Linked DNA regions of Cricetulus griseus. The protein of the gene in region 1 binds, or shares a complex with, the protein of each later gene. Links are inferred from orthologs where the notes say so. Each region holds a gene or a part of one and is shown in the gene's direction. Other genes may lie near its edges. The genes, in order: Vps54 and Vps52.

Region 1 (3,819 bases):
GGCTCTAGATAAATGGCACTTTATTTTTATGTAATATTTAGTATCTTTCCCTTCATCTTATAGATGTTACCATATTGGTACAGTTATTTTTGTTTAAATTTTTTTATAGACTTGCAGATCAAATGAGAATGTTGAATTTTCCCCAGTGGATTGATCTGTTAAAGGATATTTTCTCTAAGTTTACAGTTTTCCTACAGAGAGTTAAGGTAAGCTTACACATCAGTTGCCTATAATAGCTCTGAAATTCAATCAGCTTTCTGGACAGAACTCATAGAACTGAAATGTATTTGGATGTAGGTCAGCCTTTATGTACATAATGATGTCTTTAAGCCTTGGTTTTAGTTTCTTTCGTTTCCCTTAGTCTGTCTTCATGATTGGACTCACTTGGCGTCCACTGATTTTGGATTTGAACTTGGAGTCTGCTTCCTTAGAGTCATGTCCACTCCCAAAAAGAAATCAAATGCTTGAGAGAGGAAGTAGTGTATAATGAGATTTGCAACCATGAATGTCAAAGTCCCTTATATCTTAATAGTTCATAAAGATACTAATTTATACGAACTATTTTTCATTCACCTAGCTTGCAGTGTTTATTGAGTATATCCTCTGTATCAAGTACCATTGTTTAGGATATTAACATTGAGGCAGATCTAACAATGTAGCAGAAAGAGACCAAATAAATAAAAAGATAATTTTAAATGATAATAAATATCCTTAAACAACAAGCAAAACAAAACAAAACCCACAACGAAACCACCACTGTGTAGTGGTCTAAAGCTGTTGTAGAGAGTCAGGGAAGGTCTCTTCGAGAAAGCTGCTGTTTGTGACAGAACCCAAGTGATGGGAAGGACAGTGTGCAAAGGTCACAGTGAGGAGCACTCTCTGCAAAGGAGGAAGCGTTGCGTGAGAACAGTCTTGGGATGTTCAGACAGAGAAGGAGCTGGCTGTCACAGTAGCCAACCAGTGAGAGAATGTTGATGTAAGAGATGGACAGGCCCTGGGAATACTAAAGGACATAAGTTATTTTTCTTTAAGCAGGCATATTTACTACTATTAAGTTTCTCTGAGAGACAGGTTATATCTGGTACAGCATGTTCAAGAGGTTAGTGAAATGTATAGTGTGTTGTAGGGAAATTTCCATAACAAATGAGTTGGAGAGTAGGTACTCTGATTTCTAAGCTGTAGTGAACCTGCCTCACTTGTGCTGTTTGCCTTCACAAATCACTGTTACTGTACAATTCAAGACTGATAAAAATTGTAACAGTTGTTATGGGACTTTGATGCATTTATGATCATAGATGTTCAGAATTGTGTCTACATAATAAACTTTTGTTAATCTTAGGTTCATGATATTTAAATGCATCGTTCTAAAACATGTCCTACGTTTTCTTTTTGTAGGCAACATTGAATATCATTCACAGTGTTGTTCTCTCAGTTCTTGACAAAAACCAGAGGACTAGAGAACTGGAGGAGATTTCACATCAGAGGAGTGCTGCAAAGGACAATGCCTTGGACACAGAGGTGGCTTATTTGACCCACGAGGGCTTGTTCATAAGTGATGCTTTCGGGGAGGGTGAGCTAGCACCTGCAGCAGTTGATACTACCTCTCAGAGAAACACATCTCCAAATAGTGAGCCCTGCAGCAGTGATTCAGTATCTGAACCAGAGTGTACTGATTCTTCATCCAGCAAGGAGCAGACATCTGCATCTGCTACACCAGGAGGCATAGATGTTATGTGAGTGTAGTTGCTTTTGTGACAATGATAACTCTTTGAATGTTTCAGTAAGATTGAGAATTCAATTTAGTTTTTAAAATGTAACCTTTTTGTCTTGGAACTAAACTGTATTCTATGAAAATATACTTCAATTTGAAGACATGTAGAAGGTGTGGAGGTGAGCCTTGGAGATAGTGGAGACATTGTAGGACTTCAGACTGGTGAGGAACTTGAATTATTTAATGGATGTCCTCATTTCAGCACTGTGGTAATAGATTCCCAGGAAGCTTAGGAGATTTATGTAAAGTAAACAGAACTGTTCCTGGAACCCATGTCCAATACTGTTCTGGCAATTTTTCTCTGCCGTCTCTCTGTTCTGCTACTTTCTTATTTTATAATAGTAAAGATGTATTTGACTTACATGTCTGATTTTTTTCAAAGGCATGAGTTTCTTAGTGGATCACATTGCTTTTAAAAAAAATCATTTGTAAAAATGTGTCTTGGAATTATTTCAGGTTTACAGAATATTTGCCATAGCAGTACAAACACTAACATATCCTTCATCCAAAGTCCCCAGTTCTGAATAGTACCACACAGTAAACTGTACAGTTTCCCTCTTTTTCCTTCTTTACCTTTCCCGTTTTCTTTGTGTCTACAATCAGACATGATGCCTCTTTATCCCAGATACTAGAGTGTGTAATTACTAAAGCAGAACATTCTTTTACATAATCCAATTACTGTAGCAGTTAAGTTAATTAGATAATTATTCCCACATAGACCACAATCTTAAGTTTACCAGGTAGCCCTATAATATCTGGTATCTAAAAAGACAAAACAAAACCTATAATGCTTTAATTGTTAGTATTGTCATTTACACATTAATCTACTTCTGGTCCAGAGCTCATGGAGCTCACATTTTACTTGAGGTCAATTTATTAGACTTTTCCTTCCTACCAAAACAATAGCTGAACTGCGTTAGTAAATGTATATTTTATTTATATTTATTTTAGTATATTTTTCTGTGTTCAGGATCATATCTTTATATTTACTATTTATAATTATTGCTATTAAAATTCTGTGTCTTGACTGGGCATGGTGATGCATGTCTTTAATCCCAGCATCTGGTAGTGGGGTGTGGGAGGGTGGCAGAAGCAGGTGAATCTCTGTGAGTTCAAAGCCAGCCTAATCAGAAGATAAGACCTTATTTCAATTAGAAATTTGAACTTTTAAATTTGAGTGAGTTCTTTTGTTGGAGTTGGTATTAGTACCAGACTGTTTATCTAGAAATTGTTTTGAGCAATGCAGAGTTAATTTAGTCAGTTAAAAGAGGACCTTGAGTTTTATACGGGAACACAGCTGGTTGTGGTGGCATGTTCTTGAAATCCCAGAGCTGGGGAGGCAGAGACATGTAAATTCCTGTGGCTCAGAAGCCAGCCAGCCTGGCCTTCTTGCTGAGCCAATGAGAGGCCCTGTCTCATACAGAGGTAAATGGATGCTGAGGAAGGAAACCAAAGGCTGCTCTCTGACTCCATTTGCATCCACCACATCCGTGTACTTACACCCCTCCCCCCATACACACACACACACACACACATACACACACACACACACACACACACACACACACACACACACACACACTTACTTATATTGCTGAGGAAGCTTAATGAATTAGAGACCAATTCTGGTTTTAGTCTTACTCTTGCAACTGTGGGTACACAAACTACTGAGGTTTGGTGTCTACCTGCCTCAGTATGAGAACTGAACAGGAGTGTCCTGAGAGTACTTTGATGCTATTAACCCTGCATTATTTTAAGGCATTAATAGCTAAGTGTGGTGGCATTATAATTTTGAGGGACAACAAATGATAACTTTCATCAATATCTTAACCCAGTTAGAGTAGTAAGTTGCTTCTAAGCAATAGAAATCAGAGTCTGAATAATTGTGTTATTCAGACAAAAGGGTTATAAGTGACACAGACACTTGACTTGGCTTATGATGACACTAAACTGAACTGTTGGCATAGAATTGGTGGCCTTTATGGTATGTTTATTTTAAAATAGGAAAATCTTACATTTCTCCTCAAAATATAAATACAGCTGTTGAA
Region 2 (3,819 bases), on another chromosome or scaffold:
CTCTAGCCAGTCACTGAGTCTGTTCTGGTGTCCTTTCACTGTGGCTTCATCCTGACTGTTCCTGGTTTCCCCCAGGGTGTGGATCTGCGACACTATTCCAAGCAGGTGGAGCTGGAGCTGCAGCATATTGAGCAGAAATCCATCCGGGACTGTATCCTCCGCACAGGGGAAGACACGCGCTGTCACTGACCTGGGGTGTGTGGGACCCCGGGACTGTATCCTCCGCAGAGGGGAGACACGCGCTGTCACTGACCTGGGGTGTGTGGGACCCCGGGACTGTATCCTCCGCAGAGGGGAGACACGCGCTGTCACTGACCTGGGGTGTGTGGGACCCCGGAACTGTATCCTCCGCAGAGGGGAGACACGCGCTGTCACTGACCTGGGGTGTGGGACCCCGGGACTGTATCCTCCCCACAGGGGAAGACACGCGCTGTCACTGACCTGGGCTGTGGGACCCCGGGACTGTATCCTCCACAGAGGGGAAGAGAGCGCTGTCACTGACCTGGGGTGTGGGACCCCAGGACTGTATCCTCCGCACAGGGGAAGACACGCGCTGTCACTGACCTGGGGTGTGGGACCCCGGGACTGTATCCTCCGCAGAGGGGAGACACGCGCTGTCACTGACCTGGGGTGTGTGGGACCCCGGGACTGTATCCTCCGCAGAGGGGAGACACGCGCTGTCACTGACCTGGGGTGTGGGACCCCGGGACTGTATCCTCCCCACAGGGGAAGACACGCGCTGTCACTGACCTGGGCTGTGGGACCCCGGGACTGTATCCTCCGCAGAGGGGAAGAGAGCGCTGTCACTGACCTGGGGTGTGGGACCCCAGGACTGTATCCTCCGCACAGGGGAAGACACGCGCTGTCACTGACCTGGGGTGTGGGACCCCGGGACTGTATCCAACGCACAGGGGAAGACACGCGCTGTCACTGACCTGGGGTGTGGGAGCTGTGATGCAGGTAACCCGGTAGGGTGGCATCTCTCTCGGTCCCTTTGGGGACACTAGGGGGAGGCGATGCTGGTCCTCAGAGCTCTGTGTTCACTGTGAAGCCCTTGACTTTTGTGGGTCAGACATCCAAGAGAGTGAAAACATAGCGTCCCTGCACAATCAGATCACAGCCTGCGACGCTGTCCTGGAGGTAGGTGTCCCTCCCCTGTGGCCCCTGACACCCTCTGTTTTTTTTTTTGTTTTGTTTTGTTTTTTTGTTTTGTCAGCACTTTTGTTTCCTTGGGCAAATGGAGGTTTTCCATGCTCCTGAGCTGTTGGATACTGGGGTATTCACTCAGACACTTGGGTGACACACTTGTCCCTGCCAACCCTGTGGCATGCCTACAGTGTTTTCTGCCCTTCCCATAGCGCATGGAGCAGATGCTGGGAGCTTTTCAGAGCGACCTGAGCTCCATCAGCTCTGAGATCCGGACCCTTCAGGAGCAGTCAGGAGCCATGAACATCCGTCTTCGTAATCGACAAGCTGTTCGGGGGAAGCTTGGGGAACTTGTAGATGGGCTGGTGGTGCCCTCTACTCTGGTCACGTGAGTCGATGGTTTGAAGGGTCGTGATGTCCAGAGCAGGTGGTTGAGCTGGGGTACCTATCCAGTCTACAACATAGGTCCAGGCTGAGGTTGTCAAGTGCTGTTTAGGTACCAGGTGTGCTGGCTCAAGCCTGTAAGCACACGATTGGGAGGTCAGGCAGGGGGATTGCTGCAAGTCACCAGCCTGGGCCACAGAGTGGGACCTTCTAAAAAAAAAAGGTGCATTCTAGAGATTAATGGATGGATTATAATGTCAGATGTGTATCGGGGCCTGTGGAGAGGTGGGGCTCAGGAGTTGAAATCTTCGTACCTATGATGAAGGTATGAGACTGAGGAGAGGTAGACATGTCAGGAGGGGTGTGGCTTGCGTCTGTTTCAGGACTGTCGAGTGCCCCTTCAGATCACCCCTCTCCTCCCTGCTCTGCAGAGCCATTCTGGAAGCTCCAGTGACAGAGCCCAGGTTTCTGGAACAGCTGCAGGAACTGGACGCCAAGGCAGCTGCGGTCAGAGAGCAGGAGGCCAGAGGCACAGCGGCCTGCGCAGACGTCAGAGGCGTGCTGGACCGGCTCCGGGTCAAGGTGGGGAGGGGACCGCTAGAATCAACCCCAGGAACTCACTCTGCTCCCCTCAGTGCGGGGCATCGTTGGCCCTCTGGTTTCCCTGAAAATCTACAGAGGCTGGAGCTGTGGCTCAGCGGGTAGTGGGCTTGCTTAGGGCGCCCGAAGCCCTGGGATCCACCCCCAGCTCTGCAAACATGGGCATGGTGGCCCTTGTCTACTGTGCTAGAACTCATGAGATGACAGGAAGAAGATCTGAAGCTTCAGAGTGATCTCTGCGGCACAGGGCGTTGTGGGCTTTTACTGTGAGGAAGGAAGGAAGGAGGTGACAGACAGGACCGTGGAGGGGAGGGAGAGAATACTTCCGGTGTGTACAGAGGTACATGAGACTCTGTCTCAAAACCAAACAGTGCTGGCTTTGGCAGCATAGAAACTCAAATTAGAGCACTACAGAGAAGATTAGCATGGCCTCTGTGTAAGGACACAAAAATTGATAAAGCATTCCATATTTAAAAGGGAAAAAAGAAACAGATAACCTGAAAATGTGAGGCCAGGCATGGTGGTAAGACATTTTAGCCCTAGCACTGGGGAGGGAGAGGCAGATGGACCTGTGTGAGTTCCAGGACAGCCTGGACTACACACAGAAACCCCGACTCAACAAAAGTAAATAAATAATAACACAGCACACATCGGAAGTATTCTCTCCCTCCCCTTCGCCGTCACGTCTGTCTCCTCCTTCCTCCACACAGTAAGAGCCCACAACATCATGACCTGTTTGTCCCCTCACCTAGGCGGTGACGAAGATCCGAGAGTTCATCCTCCAGAAGATTTATTCATTCAGAAAGCCGATGACCAACTATCAGATCCCCCAGACGGCCCTGCTGAAGTACAGGTCGCCACCCCGGGACGGCCTGTGAGCTTCTTAACGGCCCAGCATGGATGTCCAGGGTCTGACTCGCCCTGGCCCTTCCAGGTTCTTCTATCAGTTCCTGTTGGGCAACGAGCGAGCAACAGCCAAGGAGATCAGGGATGAGTACGTGGAGACGCTGAGCAAGATCTACCTGTCTTACTTCCGCTCCTATCTGGGGCGGCTCATGAAAGTGCAGGTGAGCCAGGCAGGGACAGGCGGGGACAGGTGTCTGTAGGCAGGGGCTTGGAGGAGGGACTGAGTTCCTCACCTGCTGGTGGTGGGCAGCCATGGTTGAGCTCTCTGTTGTTTTCTCTAGTACGAGGAAGTTGCTGAGAAGGACGATCTGATGGGTGTGGAAGACACAGCAAAGAAAGATATCCTGGACCAGGGAGCCTCGCGTCAGGCTCACCTCCCTCAAGTCAGGCTCCACCTCCCTCAAGTCAGGCTCCACCTCCCTCAAGTCAGGCTCCACCTCCCTCAAGTCAGGCTCCACCTCCCTCAAGTCAGGCTCCACCTCCCTCAAGTCAGGCTCCACCTCCCTCAAGTCAGGCTCCACCTCCCTCAAGTCAGGCTCCACCTCCCTCAAGTCAGGCTCCACCTCCCTCAAGTCAGACTCCACCTCCCTCAAGTCAGACTCCACCTCCCTCAAGTCAGGCTCCACCTCCCTCAAGTCAGGCTCCACCTCCCTCAAGTCAGGCTCCACCTCCCTCAAGTCAGGCTCCACCTCCCTCAAGTCAGGCTCCACCTCCCTCAAGTCAGGCTCCACCTCCCTCATGTCAGGCTCCACCTCCCTCAAGTCAGGCTCCACCTCCCTCAAG

The links.
Region 2: Vps54 (region 1) and Vps52 share a complex: the UniProt entries of both Homo sapiens proteins name them as parts of the golgi-associated retrograde protein (GARP) complex. The link is inferred for Cricetulus griseus from reciprocal best matches to the Homo sapiens genes VPS54 and VPS52.

What each region holds. Positions count from the first base shown.
Region 1 is NW_023276807.1:85,248,042-85,251,860, reverse strand, and holds part of Vps54 (vacuolar protein sorting-associated protein 54), read left to right. Parts: intron 1-109; coding exon 110-206; intron 207-1,395; coding exon 1,396-1,733; intron 1,734-3,819. UniProt on the Homo sapiens protein: Acts as a component of the GARP complex that is involved in retrograde transport from early and late endosomes to the trans-Golgi network (TGN).
Region 2 is NW_023276806.1:232,054,155-232,057,973, reverse strand, and holds part of Vps52 (vacuolar protein sorting-associated protein 52 homolog), read left to right. Parts: intron 1-75; coding exon 76-151; intron 152-1,072; coding exon 1,073-1,140; intron 1,141-1,358; coding exon 1,359-1,534; intron 1,535-1,961; coding exon 1,962-2,112; intron 2,113-2,500; exon of another isoform or gene 2,501-2,604; intron 2,605-2,882; coding exon 2,883-2,983; intron 2,984-3,064; coding exon 3,065-3,197; intron 3,198-3,317; coding exon 3,318-3,375; intron 3,376-3,819. UniProt on the Homo sapiens protein: Acts as a component of the GARP complex that is involved in retrograde transport from early and late endosomes to the trans-Golgi network (TGN).